4 linked regions of the Tamandua tetradactyla genome follow. The protein of the gene in region 2 binds, or shares a complex with, the protein of the main gene of each other region. Links are inferred from orthologs where the notes say so. Each region holds a gene or a part of one and is shown on either strand. Other genes may lie near its edges.

Region 1 (7,471 bases), on a different chromosome or scaffold from region 2:
TTGCAAGTGGTTAAAAGGGGAAATTCCAGATTGTATGTTATCATAAAAAAATTTTTTTTTAATTCCATGGGACTATACAACACTAACAATGAACCTGTAAACCATGGACTACAGTTAATAATATAATTATAAATATGTGCTTTCATCAATTTTTTAAAATACACCAAATTAACGCAAGGTATTAATAAAGGGTGATAATGGGAACCCTTTATTTTATGCACTATGTCATTAAACCCTCTACTTCTCTCATTAAAAAAAGTTAAAAAATAGAAGGCATGACAATCCCCTCAGTTAGAATTCCCTCACCTGAGGATGTTGATACAACCATTGCCATTTGTCAGAAAGAACATGTTATTGTCATTGTTCCAGGAGATTTCATTGACCTCAAACTTGAACTGCTCCTCTGCTTTAGAACGATGTGTCTTGGCATCAATGAAAGTCACCACATCATCCTTGTTGCCTACAGCAATGGTCTGTCCATCAGGACTCCAACAGATGTTAATGTTCTCTCCTGGGAAGCCAGATATAATCAGCATGATAACCTGTTCGTCCATAATCCTCCAGATTATTTTGCTATTCTAGAAAGAAGACCACAGCTGTCCTTCAGAGGTTCATTCACTGATGTCCTAGTCAGGGGAAGGGGATTTCCTCATTTGGTCCTCACAAAGGTATACTATATTATACTCATTTTACAGATGAACAAATGAAAGATAAGAGAGACTAACCAAAGAGTCAAAGCATTAAGTGAGAGAATCAAGTTCTAAACCCAGGTTTGATCACAAAGCCCCTTATTCTCTCTTATACCAGCTTTTCCCAAACTTTTCATTCACATGCCACCTTCACAATTTTTATCTTATCCATGTATTAATAGCTATACTTTTCTTTACTCAATATTGTTTTTGAAAATGACAACAGAATTTTTTTTACTTAAACAAATTTAGCTTCATTTTTAGCAATAAACTCTACGAATGGCTATTTTCTTCTAACAGATATTAAAATACATACACAACCTTATTTTAATGTTATTCCATATACCACCTAAATCCTTCATGCACCACCAGCTGTATACTTCAGGAAAGTACTGAACCATTTCACCTTCAGGTATAACTCTTATTAACAAACTCCAATGAGCACATCAATTAAAAAGTTAATCAACCTCACAGATTCTAAGATGCCTATTTGTTCAAATTGTAATATCTATGATGCATTTTAAAATACATTAGGGTTCATCCCATAATTTTGGGTGTATCATGGTTACCTGACAGCTTTCTTAAGGGTATATAACATATCGGTGCATCCTATAACCAGACATCTTAAAGCCAGTAAAATATAATAAATGGTCTCAAGGTTCACAGGACAGTGTCTGATGAAGAACAGAGCCTGTAACTGCACTGTACAACTTTCTGGTCATTTTCTCCTAGGTCACCAAGACAACATAAGTTCCAGCCATTCTAAACTATCAATACTTTCCCAAATTCTCCATACCTTTGCACATGCTATTTCCTCCTAAAACTGCTTCTCCCATGCCCCCTCCCTATAACTTCCTCTCCCACTGTACCCTGACCACTAAATTCCTATGAATACTCTGTCAGCTTAAGTTCTGTAAGGCCTTTCCTGTCTTAAGCAGTCTTAAGCATGTCTATTCTGAGTAGCCATTTTATAGACATTTCCATTACGAGAAGAACACTTTATATTATGTTAGCTTTGCAACACATACGTCTCTTCACACAAGGCATGAGATTCTTAGAGCTGGAGAATGTGCCTTTCTCTTATTCAGCTCAGGATGTTCCACATCAAGCACAGAGCCAGGCACCAAGGAGCTGTTCAGTAAATACTTGTTGAATGATTAAAAGTAGTTTATCTCCCAACTGTTCCCTCTCAACTGTCACCTTTAGTGTTCACAGTGGCGATGCATTTTGTAGTCCTCACATCCCAAATGCGGATGGTTTTATCCCCAGATGCAGTGACAAAGAGGTCGGGATTACTTGGATGCCAACAAAGCTGGTCCACACTATCCCCATGTCCTCGATAATTGTTTTCTTTAACCTGAAAGAATAGAATTCAGATGTCACTTCACATGGATGTACCTGCCCTCCACGTGTAACTTCTAAATCTTCTTCAATCCATGCTATCTTGCAACCAAAAAGGATCTGGATAACTAAAAGGAATCCAATTCTTCCCAGCCTTTTCTTCAAAAACTCTTCTCAATATTCCCCTTCCCTACTCCTCAATTACTCTGAACTTTTTTGAGGATGGGTTACACAAAATGTTCTTACCGTTTTGCCATCCCTAGCCTTCCTCCTTCTTTCATGCTTTCCATCCTTGTTCCATCTCCAAAGCCCGCAGCGCACCTGCTCATTTCCCCAGGACGCCCTATCACTTTCATAGAGGTCCACCTCACCGCCAGTGACAAACCCCGCCACCCTACCACTGCAGCCCCTATCCAGTCCTCATCACGAACACCACTTAACCCCAGTCCTCCCCTCATCACGTCCTCATCCCCCTCCCCACCTGCACCCATCCACTCAGCACACATTCCTTCCTCACTATCACACTCCCTCCACACCCCCTCTCTTCCCTCGCCCCTCCTCACGCCACCCTCCCTTTCACCCTTTTCCTCGCCATCACACCTCCCTTCCCACCACAGCCCCTCTCCTGGCCTAGGCCGGGCCCTGGAAGCTCACCAACCGGTCCTTCTCCAGCAAGAAAACGCTGGCCGTCTTGTCGAAGGACCCCGAGGCCAGGCGGCGCCCGTCGCAGCTCCAAGCCACCGAGTGCACCTTGGCGCTGTGCGCCGGGAACTCGCGCGTCTTGCTGTGGCCCCGGAACAGTTCCTGCATCCCAAGCACGTAACGCGACGGGCCGCTGGTCACTGAGCACCAGGGGGCCAGCGAGCCGGGGCCGCTTTGGCCCAGGGCCGAGGGGCCCATAGTGGCCGCAGGGACAGCCATGCCGACATCCCTGAGGACTACAACGCGGACGCCGCCGACGCCGTACGCATGCGCCCGGAAGCCAGAAGGCCTCTGCGCAGCCGCATTAGGGCCGTCTCGTAAGAGGCTGCAAATCCCGACATGCAGCGCATGCGCGCCTTTGCGCTTTCAAATACAGGCGAGTCTTCCTCACGTTTACCTTACAATCTTCAGAGGATTTTAGGGGCTTTATCGTCCTCCTCCCCTACTCCTTGGTAGTTATATATGAATCCCTATTTAATCGAGGGAGGGAGCCAAACCTACCCTTCTAAACCCGTTTCCCCATAAATAAAATACCTTTTTTTTCTAGCATTGTTCCCAATTTCACCCTCTCCCTTTAGACCAAAAGGCTCAGAGAAAGACCCGCCAGTGCGTTGACTCGGGAAAAGGTCTCCAGTTATGCGGAGGGAGGGGAGAAGTCTTGAGGAGGAACCTGACGATTTGTTTAAAAACAAATCCTTTGTTTTAAAAGATACAACATACACTTGATTATGACGGATATAGAAGTGAAAAGTAAATGTCCACCCGGGGCCCCCCACCCCATCCACTCGTTTCCCTGTCGGCACCCCTCCCTTAGACTAGCTGTCCCGCGGCTGCTTGCTGGACGGAGATGGTGAGCTGCCAACCCTCATCAAGGCCCTAGAGGAGGGTTGTGGGTGCGGGAAGTTTTCGGTGGTGAGGAAGCAAATGGAAATTTGATTTAAAACACGTCTTTAGTGAATCTACAATTATCTCTAAAAAGCTTAAAGAACAATTTTTGTAGGTTAAAACAAATTTTATTTAAATTTAAAAAGATGTACCTGACTCAACTTCTTTACAAAACAGTTGCCAATACTTGTCCAATTTTGTAATCATTTCTATACAGAGTTGGAAATTTGGCTGTGAAACAACGTCTACAGAATATTTCCTTTAGAGCACGTTGCCATGCTAAATTTAAGCAAAATAGTGCTTAAAACTGATGTCTTTTGCATGCAAGTGAGTGTGCTTACAAACACCTTTATCCTTTATACCACTGATTAAATAATGGGAAAATAGCATTTAACTGACTTAACGAGGAAACAATGAATAAGTATTCTGTAAACTTCTCAGATTCACCTGAAATTTGCTATTACTCTCAGAAGTAGTGCCATTACAAGGTATCAATGACCACTATGTATTCAAATAAAATGAATGTTAATGAGACAAAGAATAAAAAGGAGGCACACTTTGTTGTAAGATATAGTAGGGAAATCTTATTACACTGAGGGATTATGGTACAGGCCACAAACCCCACATTCTTCACACAGAATGATGTTAATTCATCCCTTTTAAATTTAAATTAGCATCTCTTTAATAGTGTTGCCTGGATTTTTTTAAAAAACAAGGTCATTAGGGTCTCGGGGGCAATGAAATGTGGGGAGTTATTGCTCAATGGGTGCTGAGTTTCTGTTTGAGATGATGTAGAATTCTGGAAATAGACAGTAGTAATGCTTGCACGGGATTGTAAATGCAATTAATACCACTGACTCGTACCCTTAAAAATGGATAAAATGGAAAATTCCATGCTATGTACATTTTACTACTGTATGTATATATTCAAACTATGATGGCGATATGCAAAAGTGGATCATAATTCTTATCTTTGTCTGAGAACACAAATGTAGTTTAACAAAGACAGACTTTGTATCTTCAGTTCAGAAACATAGTTCTTTTCTGAAAGGATGAGTGATGAACTGATGCCATCCCTGAGAACTCCAACCACCAACTTGAAAAAGACATGACTCGATGAAGAAAGCAGTAACTCATTTGCCTCAGAGATGAGGAAGCAAAATCAGTGTCAAAGTATTTGAAAGGACAAGGTTTTTTTTTATTATTATTATTATTAAATGTTTTGGAACGTGTTCCCTGAGCTATGGATGCTTTTTATATACAGTCTCTTGTAAAAATAGATGGCTGCCCTAATTCCAAGTTGCACTTACAAATACTCTGGTTCTTGGTGCTGAAAATTGATGTTTTAATTCAAACAGCATGAACTGATAGTAATAACATCAAATAAATCTTTGGTGAAATGCAGTATTTCAGAGGCTTCCTTGCTTTGTTTCTCTCCTCATAATATTCCTAAAATCTTCAAGTTATCTTCAGAAAAGAAAAACAAGACCATAGTGAAGGACAAGCAGACCACCTTGAACAACTGCATCATCTATCACATGTCAGATTTGCCTTGGAGTCTGGTACTGCTCCAACAAGTGACCACGGCAGGTGACAGCTACTTGACAAGCTGGACCAAGACCCACTTTTCTTCTGAGGAATATTTTTTGCATGCCCAATAGTTAGTTTCAAGTTCTGAAACTTGGGCACATTTATTTTCTAAATGTTTAAACTGTCCTGTGCATTCATTAGACCAGTAAACTCCAGTAATAAAGACAATATCAAATTCAGGTAGAATCTAAAACACTGATTCCAGGATTTTCTTAGATCTTCCCTTACTTGAAGGTTTTGGATGTGGAGCAGCAGATTTAGGTACTTCCAGGCCTTATAGAAATCATGCATTTGCTTTTTCATCTCTTTCCTCTGGATGGACCACTAATTTGTAAGCTATATCTGGTAACTGTCCACCGTATGTTATAAAGAGGTTGTGATGATGTTGCATTTTAGAATCTGTTGCTATAGTAAAAATGTCTTACATTGCAGCTTTCACAAAACATATGAAGACATTTTGTGACATAATTGCGTCTGTTAAGAAACCTTCACAAATGGAACACAAGATGTGTGGGGTCAGCCCAGAGAAGATAATCAAGAGCACCTGCTCAGCCTCCCAGTCCAGTTGGCATCCCTCCAGCCTCAGCGATAAGCGCGGCTTATCTCTCCTCCTCCTCTTCCTTTGCTAGCTCCTCATCCTTGTCCTCCAGATAGCTTCTCAAGCAGCCCAGGCTGTGCTCTGGCTCCAGCAGCCTGAGCAGCTGAAGTCGGGGCTGGCAGGGAGAGGAGAAGCTGGGCTGGCATCACCATGGCTCCCTCAGCGTTGGCAGTGGTCCACTTGCCCTCCCTCACCACAGAGAAAAACTTCATGACCCTGGCAGAGGCAAGGCAAGGTGGCAGGATAGCTCAGGAGTTCTGCCCACCTCCTTCCAAATCCTGGACATGAAAGAGACTCCTACCCCAAGATTTCAGTGACTGCATTGGTATTCTCTGAAGTGTAAAAAGCTTTGTAGTCTCCAAGGATTTCTGGTTGCAATGGAGTAGAGAAAGGAAGAGGGTAAAGAAAGGGACCTCATTTATTAAGGCCCTTCTAAGAGCCACATGCTTTTGGTTTTATAAAGGTAACATGCACTTGGTAACAAATGGAAAAAGCACAAAAGGGAGCAGTGTAAAAAGTAAATCTCTCTCTCTCCCTTGTTCCCAAATTCCCCTTCTGTAAAGCAAATATGTTTAAATATCTTGGGTGGCCTTCCAGAGATAGTGTATGTGTAAGCAAGCACCTTGGAGGAGGTAGGTAGATGTGTGTAGAATTCTTTACATAACTTGCTTTTGATATACCATTCCTAGTATACATAATCATTACACACACACACGCATACATATGTATGTATATATAAAACCATTCCTTATTGGTATATGCATAGCTGCTAAATTCTTCTCACTGGATGCAGTCTTTAATGATATGGATGTATCATGGTTTACTTAACTGATTCCCATAATGGACATTTAGCATCTATTAATTTGCTTTTCAAACAATATTGCAGTGAATATCTATATACAAACTTCATTGTGCACATATGCACTTTAATTGGCTAGATATTGCCAAAACACCTATAAACAGGTTCTGACAGTCTACACTTCTATTAGCCACATGGGTGGGGGTGGGGGTGTCACAGAGTTCTGAAAACTCAATGAGTCCACATAAAAAGCATGTGGCTCTTAGAAGGGCCTTAAAAAATGAGGTCCTTTCTTTACCCTCTTCCTTTCTCTACTCTATTGCAACCAGAAATCCTTGGAGACTACAAAGCTTTTTATACTTCAGAGAATACCACTGCAGTCACTGAAATCTTGGGGTAGGAGTCTCTTTCATGTCCAGGTTTCCCTCCTTACCCTTCTTTTTCAGGAATCTTTTTCATATGCTGGCTTACAACGGTTTCCTACATCCGCTGGGGATTTATACCTTCCTATCACAGGTAAGGAGACTAAAGGACAAAGAGGTAAAATGCCCTGCTCTAGGCCACATAACTGGTATTTGACAGAGCAAAGACTCAAACTTAGATGTGACTGTTAGAAAGTTAGGGTGACTGCCAAGTTAGAGAAATCACAGTCAACACAAGGCTGCCTTCACTGTGGACACCACGTGCAAGTTCAGGAGATTCCCCACACCACCCAATGTTGAACAATTCACTAGATGGATTCATAGAACTTGTTGAGTACACGGAACTGTCCTCATGGTTACAATTATTAGAGGGAAAGGATATAAGTTAAGATCAACCAAAGGAAGAGACATATAAGGTACCAAAAATGGAGTTTCTTGTCCTCTC
Region 2 (7,605 bases):
GCTTTTTGTTTTTTGTTTGCATGGGCAGGCACTGGGAATTGAACCCGGCTCTCCAGCATGGCAGGCCAGAACTCTGCCACCATGCCACCACTGCCCACCCCAAAACAGGTTTTAATAGAAGGGAGGCAGTGTTTGGGTTTTATAATTATAAAAACCAGTATCCACTGAGTGTTTACAAGTTTTCTTTAACACAACAACCTTGAAAGAATGTTATCTCCCCTTACAAATGAAACTGAAGCACAGAAAAGCAAAGTAACTTGTCCAATGCCTCTAAACAATTAAGTTTGAAAAAGAAGAAAAAATAAGTATGATCCAGAATTGTCAGAGGGAGGGACACTGTGACTGCTAAAAGGGATTTTAACTTTTAGGGACCAACCTTCACTAAATCAAGAATAAACTGTTGAAACTTTTCCTTTTCTTTCATTGTGGCGCACCACCAGTGGTGTTTAGATTAAATTCCTCTACTGAAGCTGGATAGGCTCTAACTATTTATGTATGCAAACTAACGAGGAAGATGCCATATGAAAATGAGGGCACGGAATCCCAGATCCCACTCTGAATGTCCTTGGACTAGAACCTTTCACGCTACTATAGCATACGTTGCTGTTTATACAGCAAAGTGAGAGGACCCACCTCAAACCTCTAGTTCTTGTTTAGTAAAACCTCAGATCAACTTTCCTTCTACTCACTTGGAGAGGGCTCTGCCTCATGTATTAAACCAAATTCTTAAATGCATCTGTGTTGTCAAAATCTTAAGTGTTACATAACTCCTATACTACGACTGAGTCAAGTTTCACAAAGTAGCAAGCATCCTCTAGAAAAAATAATCATGCTTAAATATCTATTCTAAAATAAAGGCAATTTTTTAAATAACACATAGTTTATTAATTTGCTGGTATAATTTTAACAGTGAATAAAAGAAAAACATACTTACAATTTCTTCTTCTAGAATTCCTCTGAAAGCTTGGTCAAGAGTACATTTTTTTTCATTTTCACTATTAAAAACAAAAGGCAACCTCAGTTTTAAAACAGTTCAGGTTAAGTATATAGATTCAGCCAAGCACCTCTCATGAATATCTGACTTACCTGCCAGGTAATTGGCTGAAGGTATTTAACAATGGCTTGATATTTTTGTTGTTCAAGGCTTCTCTGGTAGACTTCTAGAAAAATTAAAACGGCAAAAAGTGGAAAAATTTTGTTTCCAATTTACCGAAAATCATTCATTGATATAACTTAGTATGTCTTTTGCACTAAAAAATGTTAATACCGGGGTAAAAAACACCCATCAGTCTTTCAGGAAACCCTATCCCAAATGCCACTTTAAACCTGGCAAGAGCTTCCTAGCAAGACCTTTCTCTCACTCCAGGTTTCCCCTTTCACCACCCCTTTAAATATCACCTTCATGATAGTATTTCGCTTTTTAAAAAAATCTTCAAATGGCTCCTTCTTTTCATGTTTTAACTTTGACTTTTCATCCTGTTACCCCAGAAGAGTTAGATTTATACTAGAGACTTCCATTCCTGGTTCTGTCACTAATCAGCTGTGTAATCTTGAGCGTATCCCTTAGTCTCTCTGTGTTCATTTTCCTCACCAGTAAATTCTTACTACCATCAGCAGCAATGGTATCATTTGAGACCCTGTTAGAAATGAAGAATCTCAGACCACATGCCAGACCCAGAATCTGTATTTAACAAGATCTCCAGGTGATTCCACTGCACATTAAAACTTAAGAAGCACTGAACTAGATGATCTCAAATTAAATGGTCCCTTCCAGGATTCTTGTGATCTTCCTAACAGTTACTCTTAACAGAATTTCAGAGCACTAGGGATTACAGAAAAATGCACTCAAGGAAAAGAGTTCTGATGACATTAACCAGTCGGTTAAAACACACACAGACACCAAACAAACAAAAAACAAAAAACAAAAAACCCTACATTCTATGGAGAAAAACCACACAAACAAGAAAACTGACGACAAAGAATCAATTTTCTTTCACAGAATTTTCATTCTGGCATCCCTATAACTACCTAAACATAATGAAATATCCGAGTTAGTTAAATCGTGCCTTCAAATATCGGCGCATATGGCTAAAGAAGAATACAAATAACTTACTACTGTGCTTCCTTATACTAGGGGATGTGATGGGCAACATAAAAAAATACTGGGTCTGGAACCAGAAAAACCTGTGAAGAAAAATCACAACTTCTGCGGGTGAATTTCTATATCTATAACAAGAGTTATAAAAAACAGCCTACCTCACAGTGCTATTGTAAGAGTTAAGTCGGTCAACATGAAAGCGCTCTGAAAGATGTTTTCCAACCCCTCAAACTATCCTTCCCCAATGTGCAAGGCTGGAATGACATCTGGTAATCCCAAGCAGATCTCTCTTTGCCTTTTCCCATTCAGAGTACAATCACCCTACCTCAAAGGAGTGAGATACGGAGGGGTAAAACGGTAAAATGGGTGGGCGGTACAAACACCTGGCAGCTTACGAGGACGGACAGGAGCTGGTTCTCCGACTGAATCCACCCCCACCCTTGTCCCTCAGCAGCAACTCCTCCAGTTCTGGAGACACCTGTCCCGCTAAGCGAGCTATTAGGAAGAGCTGGCCAAGACAGGAGGCGTCCTGAGGATGAGCTCTCCATGCACCGCGCAGAGCCGCTCAGAGCATAGGGTCGTGGCACCTGCCCAGGAGCCGGCGAGAGCTGACAGCAGAGGAAGCGGGAGAGCCAAGTAGCGTGCCTGTCCCCACACCCACACCCCCGCGCCCGATGGGGCCGGGAGCAGTGCAGCGGTGTACCCACTTCTAATTCTCTTTAGCCCGGGAGGAAAATCAAGTACTCTGAAGGGAAGAAGAGTAAACAGCAACGCCGGGTCAGGCCCCCCAGCCTCCCTCCTCTGAGGCTCACCGTAAACCGCGTCCGCGCTTCGGGCAAACTGAAAAGCGGCGGCGTCGGAGACATCTTTCCGGGGGCGCGTGCCCGCCACCTCGCCGCGGCGCCCGCCGATGACGTCAGCTTGGGAGCAACGAGAACGCGGCTTCGCGCGCGGCTAGAGCGGCCTGCGAGCGAAGGGGCGGGCTGGAGGCGCTGGGAGCCGCCGTGATGACTGAGTTCAGGTGGGCGTTGGAAGCCTGAGTCAGCAGAAACGGTTCCAATCCGGGTTCTTGGGCAGGAACCTTGGGGTTAGGGGATGTGGGCGGCCTTTCCCCTTAAACTCCCCGCTTCCGGCTGCAGAAAGGCCGTGCCTCGCACCTGCGTGCGGGTAGATGGTGGCATTTCATGGCCTGGACGCGCCACCGAGGTGGGGCGGTTATCTGGGGAAGTTTCAGGCAGGGGAAGGCTTGGAGGTTACTGTGGACCTTCCGGCCGTGGTTACTGTCCCTGAAATTTAATATTGGGAGTGGTGACGGAGTCCATATTTAATATCGGCAGTCCAGTAGCTCATGAGCGGTCCCTCTTCTGTGAAATGAGAATAACGCCTACCTCACAGAGCTGTCGAAAAGCTGGAAGGAAATAAGCGCAAGTGTGGATTATAAATTGTCAAATGATATGAGTACTATAACGTCTTTACCCTTGGAACCCAGTTGACTTTGCTGGCACATGCACTGGAAGAGAAAGACGCAGGAGGAGTGGAGTACACGGCGCTGGTGGGGAAATTGGATGGCGCTCCGTGAAGGGCGGAGGCGACCCATGCAAAACCTGGTCTCAGCCGTTTTCTCCCTTGCCTCTTTTCACGAAGAACCTTGACCAATGAGAAGCCAAATGACAATAACTGTCTGGGTTGGAGTTATGCTGTGGGGAAGGAAGCACGGATCCAAACGCGGGAAACTTCCTGCCGGTTCTTATTCCCGTCCACATGTACATAAATGAAGAAAGCTAGGCACACTGAACCTTGTACTGTTCATTGACAACTAACAAGAATACAGGGAACTAACGAAAAGATAACTTACTAAATGGGGATTGTGAACAATAATGGCTACCTGGAGCATTTTTAAAAACTAGGCTGTTTTAAAAACCAACAGAATCATTCAGGTTTGATTGAATAACTTAAATTTCCAAGCTGGGAAAAAAAAAAAAGATACAATCCAGAAATATATTTTATTAATCTGATGGTGATGTAGTATGATTATTATAATCTAGATGATTATTAACTGTCTGGAATACAACGATCTCAGAAGTAAATAAAATTAGTTTTCACAAGAATCCAAACATGGGGTGGAAGGGTAGTTCAGTGGTAGAATTCTCGCCTGCAAAGCGGGAGACCCAGGTTTGATTCCCAGCCCGTGTACTTCCTGAAAAACAAACAAGCAAGCAAAGAAAGAAAGAAAACCAAAAAATTCAACAAATGGTGCTGTAATGACAGGATCCTCACATGGAGAAAGAATGAAATGTGACCCTGCCTTATAGCATACAAAACGAAAAATAAAAACACAAGAAGAGCTGGAGTTTATTGGCTCATTCATCCAAAGCCAAATGACAGAATTGTGTTTGTTCGTTCAGATATTTCTTGGGTACTTTGCACATAGTGGACAAATTTGTTGAAAGAACACAATATATTATAAAACAGCTTAATTCCTGTTTTGTGGAGGTCTTAGTTTGGTTGACATAAAACAAACCCAAATAACTACAGCATATAATTTCTATCCTGAGTAGTTGAGATAATGGCCATTATAAGAGATCAAAGGAGAGGTGACTACCACTGGAAGTGGTCAAAATACCTTCATGGGGAAGATAGTACATGAGTGGGACCTTGAAGGATTTTAATAGGTATGAGTGGGAAGGAGCAAATAGGAAAGTTATTCCAAGTGGAAAGAACGGCTTTAGCAGAGGAGTGGAACAGAGAAAGCACTTGAATGGTAGTTGTTTATTCTGACTTTAGCATTGGGGTCTGAACAGAAATAGGGTTGAAAAGTCTATTTGGAATCAGACTATTAATATTTGAGACCAAAGAATGTTCTAAATTTTAAAATATCTTTTACTGTTTTTTAAACAAGTTATGGCCAGCAGGATATTTGAGGGGAAGGAGAGGAATGAGCTGCTTTGTTGCTAATAATTGAAGCAATACCAAAAACGGGAAAATCAGTAGAAAAAGCAGCAGCAATCTGAGGCTAGATAGCTTAGGAAGGACAAAGAATCTCATAGACATCAGTATGGTTTTTAGCCCTTGAGATAGGGTTGTATTCAACAAGGCAAGGAAGTAGGTAATACATTTTTAAAAGATATCTATCAAAATAGGGGAAACAAAGGTTAAAATATATTGGGTAGATTGGAAATACTAGTGGTCAATGAGAGGGAGGAGTAAAGGGTATGGTATATATATGAGATTTTTTCTTTTTATTTGTTTTTCTGGAGTGATGGAAATGTTCTAAAAAATGATCATGGTGATGAATATATTACTATGTGATAATATTGTGAGCCATTGATTGTATACCATGTATGGAACATTTGTATGTTAAGAATGTTCGTGCTTGTGTGTTGTTTTGGCTTGTCAGTGAAAAAAAAGAAAGATGTCCATCAAACATGAGGTATGCAACAAACAGTGAACCTTGGAGATAGTGTGTTGTGCAGAATAAGCCAGAAACAAAAGAACAATTATGCTATGGTCTTTTTCAGAAAATATAAGAAAATTAGAGCCTATATTGTAAGCTCATTTAGCAGCCACACTTAGTCTGAAGTTGTAAGTATATTTCTAAACTTTGAACTGCTGAACTATATATGCATAAGCTGGTGTTTCCCTGAAACTTTGAGTACTTTTGTGACACCTAAGACTCAGAGCTGGAGTTCTGCAACTCTGAAAGTCAACATTGCTGCATACAAAAACAGTAACTGATAAAGAGATCAGGCTTCAATTAGAGACAAAAAACAAAGCTGATCTGGCTAGAACTAAGGTAAATGAGAATACAGGGAAAAGATGATAGTGTATGTACTCTAGAGCTTCACCTACCATATGAGACCAAAGGCAGGTTTATTGTATCTAGAACCTAAAGTTTATGTAACACACAATCTAATTGAACTTGTCTCTATAGCTCATTTAAACAACCCGAACACATGGTGCCCAGAATGAGAATGAGGCCTTGTAATTCTGTATGATATAATGTAATACCTGGGTACATCCCAGACTATGGGGTGCTGTTCTAGTTTGCTAGCTGCTGGAATGCAATATACCAGCAACAGAATGGCTTTTAAAAAGGGGAATTTAATAAGTTTCTAATATACACTGCTGAGGCCGAGAAGATGTCCAAATTAAGACAAGTCTATAGATATGTCCAATCAAAGGCATCCAGGGAAAGATACCTTGGTTCAAGAAGGCCAATGAAGTTCAGGGTTTCTTTCTCAAGTGAGAAGGCACATGGTAAACACAGTCATGGTTTCTCTCTTGGCTGGAAGGGCACATGGCTAGCATGGCATCATCTGCTAGCTTTCTCTCCTGGCTTCCTGTTTCATGAAGCTCACCAGGAGGAGTTTTTCTTCTTCATCTCCAAAGCGCTGGCTGATGGACTTCATGCTTCATATGCTGCAGCATTCTCTGCTCTCTCCCAATCTCCTTTCGCCAAAATGTTTCCTCTTTTATAGAACTCCAGAAGCTTATTAAGACTCACCCAAATGGGTGGAGACATGTTGTCATCTAATCCATCTTAATAACCACTCTTGATTTAATCACACCTCCAGGGAGATGATCTGATTACAGATTCAAACATACAATATTGTATAGGGATTATTCTGCCTTTATGAAATGGGATTTAAATTAAAACATGGCTTTTCTAGGGGACATACATCCTTTCAAACCAGCACAGGGGCTGATAATTAAAGAGTATTTGTAGAGTCCCCTGAGGGACCTAAGAAAAAACATGAAATTATTACATTTTCCCACCTGGGAAACTCCTGACAAATATTGGGGACTCTCAAGAAAACAAGCCAAGCCCTTGATTTTGAGGCTGGCCCTTATGAAGCTTATTTCTGTAGTGGAGAAGCTAAGACTACCTAAAATAAGGCCTTAGAGTTGCAGCCAGGAAACATCTTTTGTTGCTTAGATATGGCTTCTTTCTCTCTAAGTACTACTCTGCAATTAAAATCAGTACACTCCTCCCTTACAACATGAGGCATGACTCCCAGGGATGGGACTGGTCCTGTGACCAGGGGATCAACACCTTCTTGACCAAAAGGAAAAAGAAGTGTAACAAAATAAAGTTTCAATGGCTAAGAGAGTTCAAATAGAGTCAAGAGGCTATTCTGGGAACTACTCTTATGCAAGCTTCAGATAGATATTGCTAATTGCCTTGGCTTGCCAAATCCCAACCAACATCATTCCTGTAAACTCTTAAGAACACCTAGGGCTCTAACTGAGACTCTGTAAATAAAGTTTCATGCACTAGTTTTACTTTCTTGAAACTTATAACCTCCAGAGGGTTCCTAGGCCAGATAAATCCTGAAACTCAGAGGGCCCAATCTCCAAGACTAGTTACATCCCCCATCTTTTATTTTTGACACCCCTTCTCAATGTAAGAAAATTAGAATGGGCATTCCCCAAAGATCCCTATAGCTTAGGAGAAGAATCAAAGGAGAAGGAGGAATTATTACAGAGAAAATAGGATTTAACAAATG
Region 3 (7,043 bases), on a different chromosome or scaffold from region 2:
TGGGCATGTGGTTCTGGTATCTTGGGAGTAGACCCTGGCAGGCCACATCTCCAGGGCTCCAGCGGTGTGCAATAGACTGTCTTCAGACCAGGAAAGTTGAAGACACACACTGCACTGATGTGAACAGGCAAGAATCACGTCTACTACAGGCTTGTCAGTCAGTACTTAGGATGCCACAATTAAAGTGGGTAGGGATTCTCCAGGTTTTATAGAGCCAAGGGAATTCCAGTCACCTGGTCAAGCAGAGGCCACTGGGAGGTTGACACCTGGTAGGTGCGATCCTGGGCTGCTACAGACTCACAGCCAGGGGCCTGGCCATAAGCTGCAATTTCTCAGTCGCTGGGCAATACTGGTTGATCTTACCTGCTCTGCCTCAGATCGATTGCGCTTCCCCTCAGCTGGGGCTCCATCACTTCGGATTACTTTGGGCTTCCGTTTTTTGCTCGATTCTGATGACATGGTTGTTCAGTGGGTTCAGCAGTAAACAGTAGAGACCTCCTAAGAGGAAAAAGCTTTTGAGATTTCCTGCAGTCAGGATATTGAAGTCTAACTAGCAGTTCTGCCACGTATAGACTTGATAACTCAAAAAAAGCCACTTAAACCTCCTAAAGTCCTAAAACTCAGTTTATCTGAAAAAAGGAGAATCATCTTTTAGCCTGTCCAAAATGAACTCTTCTTCTCCACTTCCACCTCCTTTAAAGTCATCATAACACACTCTGCTGTCCAAACTATCCTCGGAATCATCTTTAGCTGCTTCCTTTGCTCCATACTCACATTCTGCTCACACTCTCCAAAGAAGCATCTCTCAACCAAGTGTTCACACTGAGATGGCAGGTACCATGTGTTTTCTCCAACTCAACACCCTAGGCCAGGCCCTTGAATTCCTCTGCAAGACCGCTGTAACAGCCTCCAGTCTTGCCCAACCACTGCTGTCTAAACTCCTTTAAAAAAAAAAAAACCCAATCTGATACCTGATCTCTGTTTCAAAACCTTTGCTGGCCCTTTATAATGCACCAGATGAAATCCACATTCCCTGGCCTGGCATAAAGACCCTTTATGATCTGTCTCCAACCCACCTTCCCAAACACATTTCTTTCATCCTATTTCTATACCTTTCCCCACCACCTTCCCCAATTTCTATTCCTGGCTGCAAGTGCATGTACCACTCCTGGCTCCCCAAACACTCCATATTATTTCCCCTGCTTGAAATCACCTTTTTTCTTTTCTTCCTCTCTCAAGACTAAGCAATGCTTCCTTGCTCTAGGAAATCATTCGAGTCTCCCCAAGGCGCTCCCTCCTTTAGGTACTGTGCACATGCTATTACTGAACACTTTACCTGCCCTCCCCACCTAGACTGTGAGCTCTGTCCAATCCTCCATGAGTCTGGCAATGTGTTCCACAGAAAGTAGCTGAATTGTATCCAGACTTCTCGACCTGGAAGCATACAAGCCCATTCCCATTCCCTATTGACTGATCACTGTGTGCTAAGCCTTGATTTAAGCTCTTTCTGGCTATGGTCTCATTTGAGCCTCACAACAAACTCTTCAAGATAAGAACTAGTATTATCCCCATTCTACAGATGAGAAAACTGGAGCTCAGAAAGGTGAGTGACTTGCTCAAGATCACACAGCTAGTAAATGATAAAGCGTGAGTTCATCAATGCCCTATCAGTGTTCTTGACAATCATATGGCTGTGCCTTCCAGTTCAACAACTCCCTGCTTGACGCTAAAATTGAAAAGAATTAAACCTGGTATTTCATGGGGCTGACAAAGCACCCTCACATCTGCCAGCTCTCCTGGTTGCCACCAGAGGTCCAAGGTGGGCAGCACTGTCCCTCTGACCCCAATCCATTTATCAACCAACATCTGCTGAAGGAGCCAATAGCACATCATGACAGAGTCAGAGAACCCTGAGTTGCAGTGTCTAATGTATTATTTTCTGGGTACAAATCCCAGGACAAGTCGCCTTTTTTCTGGGTCTATTTCCTCAGTAATCAAATGAGAATAGCAGTGCCTACCTCAGGGGATTTTTGCTGGCATTAACACAGAGATGCTGAAGATGATCTGGGACTGGGGATAAGATTTTAGAAGGTGCACGGGTGATCTTTAAAAATGACAACTATCTAAGGAGAAAGTTAACCAACCCCCTTTTCAATCCTTTTTTGAATCTTCTGATTGTTTTCAAGGAGAGCAGCTCAGTCCCCTGGTGTGTCTTTAACATCTACTAATGTTAACACTTCTTTGTAAAGGGTTCTGCCTCAGGGCCTTAAATAGACAATGAAATCTGGCCAGAATTTATTAACAAGGACCTGTTATCATCATATTAAGTATATTGTTTTTGTCATTTTCTCCTACATATGACAAACGAAAGCAGTTTTCCATTCAACATAAAGACTTAAAGTTTCCTTTAAAAGTAAACAAGTTTAAAAAGTGACTCAATTTAAAATCTTTAGTCAGTAGTCGTACAGACAGATGATATACTGATTTGACAGACCCCACAAAGATAGGATCCGAAAGGCCTAAGTGTGGGATACCTAACTTTGATGACACGTAAAGAGCGCCCAGCACACGAAAGCGCCCAATAAACGTGAGCGGTTACCGTTACCATCACCACCACCACCACCACCACCACCACCACCATCTCCATCGTCAACACAGTCATTTCGAGGTTACACCGGGGACCTTGGAGATGCCGCAGCGAACACCCTCCAGATGAGCAAAACTGAGCGCTGGACACGAGCTGCCGCGAACCCCGGACAGTGAAGGTGGAGATCCAAATCGGATCCGGTAAGGGGACGCCATTCGGGTGGTCTGCGCCTTAGTCCTGGAGCACTCTGTCCCGTGCTAGGCCCCTCGCCCGGCCTCACCACCCTGTCACCCGCCCTGGTCCCCTCCTCACCGCACAGCGATGCGAACGAGTCCCGATCTACCCACTTCCGGCGGCGCACCATAGAGAAGCGGAAGGAAGGAAGGAGCGGCGGGTCAGACGCGCGGCGCGGAGGCCGGAAGTGAGGAGTCGAGAGCAGGTGCCTGTGGGCGGTCTGGGATGGTCAGCCCTTCAACGACTCTCTAAGACCAGGAAACGGAGGCTCTAAGGGGGACTCCTATGCATATTGTTTATGCATCGTTCCCCGGCGCCTGAAGCAGTCCCCCAGCAACTAGTGGGCGCTCCACAATTGTCTGATTGACTTGTCACATGCTGAAAATCACACAAGGTGGAAGCGCCAAGATTTCGAGTTCAGTTATTTGCCTCCCAGACCTGGTTTTCTAACCACTGTCATCTTCAGTGCTCCAAAGCACAAGGCTCTGGAAACATCCCACATCAGAAAGAGCAGGGGGTCAGAAAGGGCCCGAACCCCGTTTTACACTCGTTTTTTTCCCAATACAAGTTTCCCTATTTTAGACCTGATTTGCCCAGGACGGTCATTTAGAGCGTTTCCTAGTTCTGGCATGCGTTATACAAAAAGGATGTAAGATTTTTCGTGTAATCCTACTTACCTGGAGCTAGGAACATTCTAGTCCTAATCCCTAGCTGTACAGGGTCAATTTCTTCTGCCCCCGGGGAAAGCAGAAAATGCCCTGCCTAGGAGTGGCTCAGGGAACACAAAACCCTCCAGGGGACATATCAGCTAGGAGGGAATGAGAAACGTGCCGAAGTTCCTTGCAGATGAAAAAAAGACACCAAGGTTTATAGTAAATATTTAATTGGTTCCACCAGAAACTGTAGCACAAGTTTTCTTCGAAGGGAGGCAGAATCAAGCTACCCAGGGGTTCATACCCACTTCACGCACCAGGTGGCCCAGCAGAATGAGAAGATGAAGGGAGGGAGAAGGAATTCAAATGGTGGAATTACAGGTTCTGCCTTATCCCTTTGCCTACACAGAAGGGCTGAAGTTACCCATTCAAGTTCTCAACTTTATTACTTAAAGAAAAACGAATGGGCCTCTCCCCACTCACCTCGTATTTGTAATCTCTCCCCAAGTGGTGTTCTGATACCTGTTTTCTTGTTCCAATTCTGGATTCCACATCCAAATTCCAAATTTTATGATGCAAACCTAAGTTCTGAATTCTAAGTTCTGCTTTTTGGGGGTCCCTGTTTCACATCTGTCTCCCACTCCCAAATCCTTCAGGCCCCAATCTCTTCTCCTAGCCTTCCTGGGTGTTAAGTCCTGACCTCTTCCTGATCTTGCGGATCTGAGGGTTTTCAGCAGCTCTAAGCTTGTCCCCAGACTTGACTCATACTGTCCAGCATGTGGGTGGCCCATTAAGGCCAAGGAATTGCTGAGTGACTGGTCTGGTTCTCAGCACCTTCCTTCCCAACTTACCTCTAACCCCCAGACACTAACTTTTGTATGACTAAAGCTAAACTGAAGATTCCTGTGCTGATGACCAGGGGCTGGGAGTCTTAAGATGAGGAATCTTGGGGGAAGAGGTGGGAAGACATGAAAGGCTGCTGCTCTTCCCTCAGGAAAATTGGAAACTGCTTCTAGCAGGAGGGGAAGGATGAGGGCAGATGGCAGGTGGAGTCTGTGCAGAGCTGCCAGTCCACAGGCCCCAATATCCTTCGGTTCCTCCTCGCCTGAGTTGAGCACCAGCCCCAGAGAGCCCCCCAGATCTGAGAAGAAACCAAAGTTCAGGACCAGAAGCTCCACTGTCCATGGTTGTCCAGAGGGAGAAGGGGAAGGAGGCAGAGGTTGTGGCAGCATCACTGAAGAGGCGAGATCTTCAGGGGGATCATGATCCGAGACTCCATGTGCCGCACCAGGGGGACTGCAGAGAGAGAGAGGCAGAGGTCTTGGAAGGGGACTGAGATGAGCCAACCCCCGCCCCTAACTGACCTCTGGCGGGGGGAGGGGAAGGCCCTGGAAGGGGCTAAGCTTCTCCTGGAAGAATCCATGGAGATAGCCAGATCTCCCAAATTGTGGGAAAGGAGAGACTCCGGTGGTGATGAGATGAACACTTTTCATAATTAAATATTTATTTTTCTGTGTATAGGAAACAAAATAACTAGCAGAGTAAAATGTGATTTTGCAGATATTACTGTTGAGGGCAAAGGTAGTCAAAGAATGAAGTAGGGGGGAAAATACCAAGAAAAAATTGTAGTGGTGGTAGTATGCCTATAGGGCAAAAGCTGTTGAGTGTCTGTGAGTGTCCTTGAGTGGTTGAAGTTTGAAAACACACAGATTTAATCCAAAGGCCTCATTTTCAGTTAGGGAGGCTATAGCCCTGAGGCTCAGGAATAGCCCAGGGTCACCCAGGGAGTCAGACTCTTTCCCCTTGCTCAGACCTTCTCAAATTTTAACGTGTAGGCAAATCACCCACAGTTCTTATGAAAGCGCTGATTTTGATTCAGTAAGTCTGGGGAGCCTGAGATGCCACATTTCTAACAAGCCCCTCCAGGAGATGTGATACTGTTAGTCGGGAATTGCACTTTCAGTAGCGAGGTTCCAGCTAATTCCTCCAGCAGACACATCTCCCCTACACCAGTTAGTATGTCCGTGAGCTTAAATGTAAGCTCCCCAAGGGTAGAGGCAGGGTCCTGTTCATTTCTATACACCCTGCTCACTCACTGCAGCCCCTGGCACAAAGTGAGGGCTCAATCAACACCTACTGACTCCAGGTAGTCCGAAGGGGTCCCCGCCAAAGTGGCACACACCTGGAGCCGAAAATGACAGGCCCCATTTGCTGTGTGCTTCCTGTGCCTGACCCTGAGAGAGGCACCATCACCATCTTACAGATGAAAACAGCCTTAGCGAAGTTAAAAACTGTACCCGAGGTCACAGTGGGTGCTCAGATACTCCATGTCGAGGGAAGGACTGCTGGTGGAATGGAACACTCACCTACAACTGCCTACATCACATGTGCCTCCAGGATAAAAACTTACTAGCTCATTGTCTTGAAAGTAAGCTCCCCATCACTGGAGGTAATCAAGCCAGGCTAGGCCTCCTTGGAAAGAGGATTTCATCTTCCTGGAAGATGACCTCCAAGAGCCTCGCAGACCCCCAGAAGCAGCCCTTACCTGTGTAGTAGACATTTTGATCCCAGCCTCTCTTCCTCCAGGCAGCGTTTCGAGTCTCCTCCCGAGACTGCAGGTCTTTATAGGCTGTGAGAAAGGCATGCACTCATTCACTGATCCCATACCTAGCCCAAGGCCCTCCTCCCACTGTCTCAAACCCTGCCTGCCATCGCTTCCACCCCACGCACCTCAGGTTGATAGCAAAACACTGTCACAATCTCATCCAGCCCATACATATGCTGACAACTACTAAATTTATATCTCCAACCCCGCTCTCTCCTGTGGGTTCCAGACCCATATATCCAATGCCCATTTGACATTTCCACTTGGATGTCCACCCAGCATCTCAAACGTAACACTCCTGAGGGTCAAAATTGTATTCCTTACCCTCCAACTCGCTCCTGCCTACACACCCAACCCACCCCAGTCTCCTACTGTCCTTATAACTGCTCAAGCAGGAGCCTAGGAAGGCTTCTGAAATCTTCTTCTATGACCCAAGACAATTCATCTCCATGTCCCACTGGTTCTACCTCTAGATGAATGAATCTGTGGACTTCTCATTATCCTCACTGCCTCTGTCTTGGGTCAGGCCACCATCCCCCCTTGCTTGGACTTATGTTCCTCTCTCTTGCTCCCCTATAAACCATTCTCCACACGGCAGCCCAAGGTATTATATCAGAACATAAATCAGGTCATGTTGCTGCCACTTAAAACACTTCAGCAGCCTCTGTTGCATTTAGAATAAATTCCAGTTCCTCCCCACGGCCTGCCAGGCCCAGAATGATCTGACCCCTTCCCCCCTCTCCTATTCCATCTCCCTCCACCCTGCCCCCCTCTGTCCATACTAGCCTTTCTTCTGCTCCTCAAAACCCTGAAGGCCTTTCCCTGCTGCGGGGCCTTTGCATGTGCTGGTTCCCTCCACTTGGAATGCCCTTCCCCAGCAATTCATGGCAGGCTCCTACTTGTCTCCTTTAGTCCTAGCCTTGTGTTTGACTCCCTCAGAGAGGCTCTCCTGGCTTACCCAAGT
Region 4 (7,579 bases), on a different chromosome or scaffold from region 2:
CCTTCCTTCCTTCTCTCTGTCTTTCCTTTAAAAAAAAAAAAAAAAAAAAGTATAATAGTGACGTTTATCTTTTAAGGCTATTGTGAGAACTCAACCAATCAATTATCATATGTAAACAGCTTCCATCAATACTGTTAATGAACACAGATATTATGAGGAAACAAATATGGCCAATGTGGTTGGGCTGTGAGAAACGAAGCTGGAGAGACCAATAGGGATATCATAAAAAGTTTTATGCAGAGTAGTGACTATTATACTAAACATCTAACTGATGAAATCGCTCCCCCTGCAGACTCCATTCTCCATACTACCAACAGAAAATAAACTGGTCACATCAGGCTCTTCCTTTCAAATTTCCAAAGACTAGCCCCTTCTGCCTACACGACAAAAGCCATATGCCCTACACGACTTGGTAAGACCCTTTATAGTATCACTTACTCAACCTTTATAGGCACATAGTTCACCTACTTTTCCTTCCAACCTCTAACCACTCATAATGGGTACATTATGCTTCAATGATACAAATGACTCACTGTTTTCCCCTCTGTAAGAACCCTTTTTTCCACATTTGACTGGAAATCTGGTACTGTTACAGTTTAAAAGACATTTTCATCCACAATTCTTTCTCTTTCTAGTTGTGTTAAAATGACCACATTTCTGTAAAATCTTCAGACTTCAGAAGTCAGCAGTCAATATGGACTTTCACATCAATTCGAACAGATAATATATATTTTTTCTTTCTGTTTCAAAGTTTCTTCCCTTCCTTTGAGGTCCCATGCTAAAGTCCCTTATAAAAATGGAGACTTTCTTTAAAAAGAGAAAACCTGAAGTCAAAGCAAAAGTCAGGATTATTCCATCAAAATTACCAGAAAAACCACACATTAACTAACCTGGAAGTCAGAATTAAAGGTATGGGTTCTTAACCAGAGGTCCATGGACTCCTTAGGGCTACAAAGTAGTTTTATGAAGCCCCTCAATTGCATGCAAAATACGTGTACATGCCTTTTTCTGGGGAAAGGGTCCATACCTTTCATCAGAGTTTCAAAGATATCTGTGACCTCCAAAAGGTTAAGAAGTGCTCTAGAGAAAAAGCAAAGACAAGCAAATGTGATTAAAAGAGTGAGTCCTTTTCAGGCTGTCGGGAGTGCCTCAAGTTCTCTTAAATTATAATGCCTGAAATCAGATGAGAGGACATTTTGTAAAAGTGACTTAACCAAACAAATGCAAATTTAATACAGATCTAACAGATTTGTCATCCATAAAAGCAAGTCACAGGGGAAGCTAGTAATTTACTCCAGGGATTTCAAAAATGGGATAAATAAGAAGAAAATACTAGATCTTCAATTCATATTTCCTTTTTAGCCCATTCATTCAAAAATTCTCTTTAATGTATATTTTATAACATACATAACAATACAGTAGTATCTATGTAATTTATATATGAATAAGTATACACATAATAGCAATGACTGCTCAATTTTTTTCTATTCATCATGATAAATATTAGAACACTGATATAATTTACATGTTTCAGTACCACCAACTTAACAGTAACTCCAGAACAACAAAAAAACTCACTATAAAATTTAGAATCCAAGGTTAAAAATACATCAGCTTTCAAAGAAAGGCTAACTAGTGTCAACTAACATGTGATTAAAGAAGTTCTCTCCCTATTCTTCTCCCCCTTAAACTACTGGTCATCAAGCTCTGAAGGATCAGTTTTCAGCTGTGGATTAAATCAGCCTGGTTTGTCCAAAAGACCCAAGATTAAGTGACCAAAACATGTGATGAGAAAACTATCTGTGAAGCCACAACCGGCCAACTAATAAAGCCACTCTCTTAATTCACCCTAAAAGAACCTACTTTTTCTTCCAGGTAAATGATAATCTAAGTGTGAAAAAGCTATCAAGATTCCCAAAAGACACATCTTGATACAGACACAGAACTTGACACAGAACTTGAAATAGGTTCTGTGATTCGAAGTGCCACCAAATAGTGACACCAAGAGATGCAGGATCTAACGGTGATATGAAATGAGACAAAAACAACCCCAGCCTTGGAGTTGTTTTTCTACAGGGCTGCTATTGTAAGTTCTCTCGGAGGAAGCATGTATGTGTATGCTGTCGGGGGGGTGGGGTGGGGGGTGGGAGGGTGTAAGTGAGACAACTCGAAAAACTTATAAATCTAAGGTGTCAGTGCACTGACTAACTCTTAAACCCTCCTGAAGCCCAAGCCTCAACCCGGAGGCCTAAGGCCTTAGGGTTCAAAGTTCACTCAAGGGGGCGTAAACCCACTAGAAAAAGGAGTGGAAGCATTTTCTGGATCACATTTGGGACTCAGAAATAAACAAAGGTGCCTAGCTAACAGGGAAATCTCAGCTATAGACAACAGACAGGGAAACATCAACCCAAGGAAGAAAAAGGGGTCCTGGTTCCGGCAAGAGGAGATGAGAAGAAAAACCCTGACGTAATGGGGCGCTGACAAGAGACGAGAAAGGGAGGTGATGGATGGTACAGCCAAGAAAGCCAGGGCGCCGAAATAACAGATAAAGATAACAGTAAAACCGCAAGGAGAAATGGGAAATTAGGGAAGGCGTAGCGGGGAAGAAGGGAAGCACAAAAGAAAAACCAGCTAACTACGGAACGAGCCGGAAAACGAAAAAGAAAAGACTGCAGAGAGAACGAGAAGAAGGCACAGCCCACCGTGCAAAACTCAGCTGCTAGAAATGTCCAACCCAACCATTGCCCCGCTTCGCAGTACCTTCAGCTTATGCAGCTCCACCGTCTCTGCCGCCATCTTGTTACCCCCTCCACTCGCTGCCTCCGCCTCCAGGAGCTCCCGCCTAGGCGCAGAACCATGACCGACCAATCGCTGTCACTCTTACTTCCACCCCACACCATCAGCTCTTCCCATTAGTTAATAGCTGACGTCGCTCTAGCTCCCTCCTCAACTATCCCCACCTCTCTCAAAAGGTGGGACTGGGAAAAGGACCGGTTCTGCACCCTCCAAATGACGGAAATGGCGACCAATTGTGTGTTCCATTGCACACCGCCAACCAATGGGTGGTGGCAGCGCTAATTCTGTTCCACCAATAAGAAGAATGCAAATAGGCGGAGGACTGCTGCTTCCTGGAGACCAGAGGTGTGGAAGCGAGCGCCGTGCACAGGCCGGACGGGCCACTGAAGCTGGCAGGTAGGCGTTATCGGGAGACTGGAAAGAGGGTACTGAGTAAAAATGGAGAGACAAAAGGAAAGTGGCGGAGGTGCTCTGAAGGGTTCCCTAAGGGGAATCGATTAATAATAGAGGGAAGCCAGGAAGAGCATGGGACGGGGTCAATATTAGGATTTAGGGAATTTTAGATAGAGGGGTGGCAGGCAAGGGCCACTTCCTAACCAGTCGTCAGCTTTACTTGCACTGTTTTAGAGCTGAGTTCAGAGGACCAGAACCGACCCTAGAGTAGGGGCTAGGGCTCCATGCCTCGAGGTATTGAACTTGGGTCCCTTTCTAGTCCTTTAGAAGCCCAGGGGGAAATTCCTGCAGCACCCCACGCTTGAGAGAAGGAATGAGGATGTTTGTTCCTTACGTGCAAAGGAAATGAGACAGGGTGGACAAGCCCCAGAGGAGAAGATGGGAACTAGGAGTAGCTTTACCTCCTCAGCCCTCCTTGATTGAATCCCAGGACCCTCTGGGAAATCTAGATTTGTAACTTCTCTTGATTTATTAACTTTTTCAGGATAATAAAGTGAGATACTCCTAAGTGTCTCCTTTTCCTTGAAGCAGGTACCCCAAGCCTAGGCATGATACTTCACATTAAGTTGAACTGTGAGAATCAGAAAAAATACAATAATATGTCTCTAAAATGTAGGGTGAGCTTCTTGCCTTTGAAAATTTTCCCCAAGACTATAGTTTTCCCTTTGTGCATGATTGGAAAGTTCTTTCATTCTCAGTGGAGTTCAGGGGGGTTTGGCTATTCAGGAAACAATTGGGAAACAAGCTCAAAGGAGCTTAGAGGAGGGCGGGCCGCGGTGGCTCAGCGGGCAAAGTGCTTGCCTGCTATGCCGGAGGACCTCGGTTCGATTCCCGGCCCTAGCCCATGTAACGAAAACGGAGAAACAAAATACAATAAAACAAGAAAATGTTTAAAAGATGTTTCCCTTTCTTCCTCTCTTCCTTCCTTCTATCCTTCCTTCCTTCTCTCTGTCTTTCCTTTAAAAAAAAAAAAAAAAAAAAAAAAAAAAGGAGCTTAGAGGAAATTGAACTATATTTCTGCCTGATTCTCCAACTGTAATAGGATGAATGTGGGGGTGGCACACAGTGAAGTAAATCCCAACACTCGAGTGATGAATAGCCGTGGCATCTGGCTGGCCTACATCATCTTGGTAGGACTGTTGCATGTAGTTCTACTCAGCATCCCCTTCTTCAGCATTCCTGTGGTCTGGACCCTGACCAATGTCATTCATAACTTGGTAAGCACTAAACCACACTCTTACACCCACCCCAAGCTTTCCCCAACAAAAATAAATCAATTAATAAATAATAAAATTCCCAATTATTTGGGGATTTTTGCCTTCCTTTAGGAATCAACCATTTACTACCTTAGCAGAATTCTTGAGTTGAAGGACTACTTTCTATTCCCCTCACCCTGTCCCTTCTCTCCTAGGCTATGTATGTCTTTCTACATACGGTGAAAGGTACACCCTTTGAGACCCCTGACCAAGGAAAGGCACGGCTCCTGACACACTGGGAGCAGATGGACTATGGGCTCCAGTTTACCTCTTCCCGCAAGTTCCTTAGCATCTCTCCTATTATACTGTGAGTTTGGAAAGGAGGGGTAATGGGCAATGCTGAATTGGAAAGCACTTTAAAAAGCCAGCTACAAAAACCCACAGGGAGGCATTAAAGCAGACTACCTATCTGAAATATCATGGTATACTAGTTACTAGGGAAAGAAGTAAAAAGTAGAAGCTAGTAATTAAGCATTCCTTGCTGCCTCCCTTGATGATAGGAGAATGGAAAGGGACTGAAAAATGATGAAACACCAAATAAAATCAAATGACTTTACACTTCCAAACAGAAGTGAATAGAGACAGGACTGATGTGAATCTATGAAAACTGTGGGGACTGGAAACAAATTAAGACTCTTAACATTCATATAGGCTGAAAAAGCTTCAGCTGTCATTTGCCACCTGTCATTAACAATGAAGAAACACATAATCTGATTTATAATCTCCAGTTAAAGGTGCTATCTTAAGATCTCTCCAACCCCAAAATAAATAGTGTTGCTATGGCTGTAATGTTTTCAGATGTCCTAAGACTATATGCAGTAGAACTGGTAATTTAAAATATAAAAGGAAAGTCACTGAAAAGACATTAATATGAATTCATTCTTTTTCTTCTCTCCCAGCTACCTCCTGGCCAGCTTCTACACCAAGTATGATGCTGCTCACTTCTTCATCAACACAGCCTCGCTACTCAGTGTTCTGCTGCCAAAGTTGCCCCAATTCCACGGGGTTCGTCTCTTTGGGATCAACAAATATTGAGAGAGGGGACTGGGAACAGCTCTGTAGGCATGGAGAAGACATTGGAACAAGGGCTGTTAACATCCTTCCTCCTTCTTTATATTATCTTCATCTTGAAAGACTGAGAACTGTACAACCTTTCCCAAACTCCCAGGAAGAGAAGAGATTGGAAAATGGGGCTCCCTGGCCCAACCCTGCTAGGAGTAGGTTTCTTTGAATCAGCAAAGGCAGGTGAGACAAGGGCCAAATCTCCACAGCAGGAACCATGTATGTGCAGCTTATTTGGTGATTAAATTTTCCATATCTTCCACATACACACCCCTTTTCCAGCTCTGTTTTGCTGTGTATTTTACTTATAATAAAGATATTTTTTTTCAGATATGGCTACAATTGGTTGGCAGGAAAAGTAGGGAAAGAGAGAATGATGACTTACTATATTAACTTCTCTAAGACTACTTTTTATCCTCTCTCCCGTGGTTCAATAGGGGGTGCCCTTCACTCTCGGCTAACTATGGAAAGTACTCAAATGAGAAAAAGAACTACAGTTAAATGGACAAAGAAGAGAGGGAAAATACAGGTTGCCAGTTATATATTTATAGAAAGATAATCCCCTGGCTTTAAATAGATATGTACATACAAATATGAACAAACTTAAAAAATACAAACCCTAAGATCATAAGGGGGCTGCTGGGAACCCCCTTATTTTTCCCCCTCACCCAAGGGCAGAGGGGTATGAGTCTGCTTTTAAAAAATGATTAATTTTGGCCATCCCTGCAGCAACAGCAAGCCTGTAATTAGGTGATTATACACAAAGGTGAAAGTCAGTGGATGGAAGAACTCAGAGTTCTCTCTCTCTGAACTATACATCTCCTATAATTTGGGCTACATGCTTTCTTGTTCTGTCTTTTAACTAGTCTATAGGGATGAGGGTGGGGGAATTCACTCTTGAAATGGGTCAAGAAATAAGATAAACTCAGTTTAAAAAGAGAAAAAGAAAAAAAGTGTCATCTGCTCTAAAAGCAAAAGACAGGACAAAGGCATACAGACCCCAGGGAAATAACCAGTTCCCACACCACTATAGGATATATTGTCCAGTCAAGGTTGAGGCCCTAGGTTCTTTGCTTTTAGCCACCTCCTATTTCTTTGGTATTGCCAGAAGACAAGATTCAGTTCCTGGGTGTTGAGGGAAGAGAGCAAGTGGTTCAGGGACTTCCTACAAGTACTAAGTAAACAATTTGAGCTTAAACTTTTCCCTTTTTTAAATATTTAAAAATAAACAAATCAAACTCCATCCTGTGCTGTACACAGCCCTTTGACTCCCTGACACTGATTTGAGGAAAGAAGAGAAGGGGTGTCAGCGTTGGAAGGGCCTCCTCACTTTCTTCCGCCGCTTCGATTTCGCGTCTCCCTTAGGTACTGTGCTGTTAGGCTTGGAAGGAGCAGTGGCCCCAGGGCCAGGCTGAGATGCTGCAAAGAAGTTTCCATTGGACATTTGGCCTGGTGGTACTTGAAAGATCCGGTTCAAAAAATCCTGAAGGTCAGCAGGAGGGGCATATGGGGTGGCTCTAAAAGAGAAATAAGAAATAATGAAGCAAGAGATGTTGCTAGAGTCATTTGGTTACCTGAGTTAACAAGACTGAGTTCCTAAACTTCCTGCTAGATGTCCTAAACAATATGTCATCTGAAACCATATTCACAACTAGAATAGTGGATGGGTGATTGAAGAGAAATACCACCTACCTCTGACGCCCACTGGTGCCTGGGATCCGGGAACCAAATGAAATGTGATAGGGGACTCTATGGGTATCTGGGGAGATTCCCACACGCTGGCATCCAGCCCACTCTGCAAACATATGATATAATTAGCCAAAACATTAGGTGAAAGCAAATATGAGATCAGGAAGTATGGGTCAATACTTCTAGAGGACAGAAGTGTACCTGTGATATCATACACCTTTCCATCCATCAGTGCAAAGTAGGTGATCTTCAGGCCCAACATGCTTGACTCTGCCCAAAAGTCTCCTTCCTCTGCAGGATGCAGCCTATTGCACTCAGCACAG

What was found.
Region 1: THOC1 (region 2) and THOC3 share a complex: the UniProt entries of both Homo sapiens proteins name them as parts of the transcription/export (TREX) complex. The link is inferred for Tamandua tetradactyla from reciprocal best matches to the Homo sapiens genes THOC1 and THOC3.
Region 3: the proteins of THOC1 (region 2) and THOC5 are in contact, whole or in part, in a cryo-EM structure (PDB 7APK), measured with the Homo sapiens proteins. The link is inferred for Tamandua tetradactyla from reciprocal best matches to the Homo sapiens genes THOC1 and THOC5. Residues at the interface, in NP_005122.2 of Homo sapiens: Glu60, Arg145, Arg146, Leu147, Ser148, Ser150, Gln151, Lys285, Met286, Leu289, Val296, Tyr297, Phe298, Leu302, Ser304, Leu307, Leu310, Gln311, Ser313, Asp314; in NP_001002877.1 of Homo sapiens: Tyr52, Arg113, Lys120, Asp124, His127, Leu128, Gln131, Asn132, Leu134, Tyr135, Glu136, Met138, His139, Thr145, Lys146, Glu149.
Region 4: THOC1 (region 2) and SARNP share a complex: the UniProt entries of both Homo sapiens proteins name them as parts of the transcription/export (TREX) complex. The link is inferred for Tamandua tetradactyla from reciprocal best matches to the Homo sapiens genes THOC1 and SARNP.

Annotation. Positions count from the first base shown.
Region 1 is NC_135346.1:57,496,556-57,504,026, forward strand, and holds the start of THOC3 (THO complex subunit 3), read right to left. Parts: upstream 3,007-7,471; 5' UTR 2,952-3,006; coding exon 2,685-2,951; intron 2,047-2,684; coding exon 1,890-2,046; intron 512-1,889; coding exon 307-511; intron 1-306. UniProt on the Homo sapiens protein: Component of the THO subcomplex of the TREX complex which is thought to couple mRNA transcription, processing and nuclear export, and which specifically associates with spliced mRNA and not with unspliced pre-mRNA.
Region 2 is NC_135344.1:63,220,694-63,228,298, forward strand, and holds the start of THOC1 (THO complex subunit 1), read right to left. Parts: upstream 3,017-7,605; 5' UTR 2,965-3,016; coding exon 2,911-2,964; intron 1,161-2,910; coding exon 1,087-1,160; intron 996-1,086; coding exon 935-995; intron 1-934. UniProt on the Homo sapiens protein: Component of the THO subcomplex of the TREX complex which is thought to couple mRNA transcription, processing and nuclear export, and which specifically associates with spliced mRNA and not with unspliced pre-mRNA.
Region 3 is NC_135331.1:33,488,306-33,495,348, reverse strand, and holds the start of THOC5 (THO complex subunit 5), read right to left. Parts: upstream 3,004-7,043; 5' UTR 2,900-3,003; intron 2,894-2,899; exon of another isoform or gene 2,683-2,893; intron 499-2,682; 5' UTR 460-498; coding exon 364-459; intron 1-363. Other genes in the region: NIPSNAP1 (protein NipSnap homolog 1), read right to left, coding at 4,706-4,770, 6,020-6,103. UniProt on the Homo sapiens protein: Component of the THO subcomplex of the TREX complex which is thought to couple mRNA transcription, processing and nuclear export, and which specifically associates with spliced mRNA and not with unspliced pre-mRNA.
Region 4 is NC_135333.1:122,802,567-122,810,145, forward strand, and holds the start of SARNP (SAP domain-containing ribonucleoprotein), read right to left. Parts: upstream 3,001-7,579; 5' UTR 2,797-3,000; coding exon 2,761-2,796; intron 1-2,760. Other genes in the region: ORMDL2 (ORM1-like protein 2), read left to right, coding at 3,059-3,192, 4,292-4,466, 4,661-4,812, 5,405-5,540. UniProt on the Homo sapiens protein: Binds both single-stranded and double-stranded DNA with higher affinity for the single-stranded form. Specifically binds to scaffold/matrix attachment region DNA. Also binds single-stranded RNA. Enhances RNA unwinding activity of DDX39A.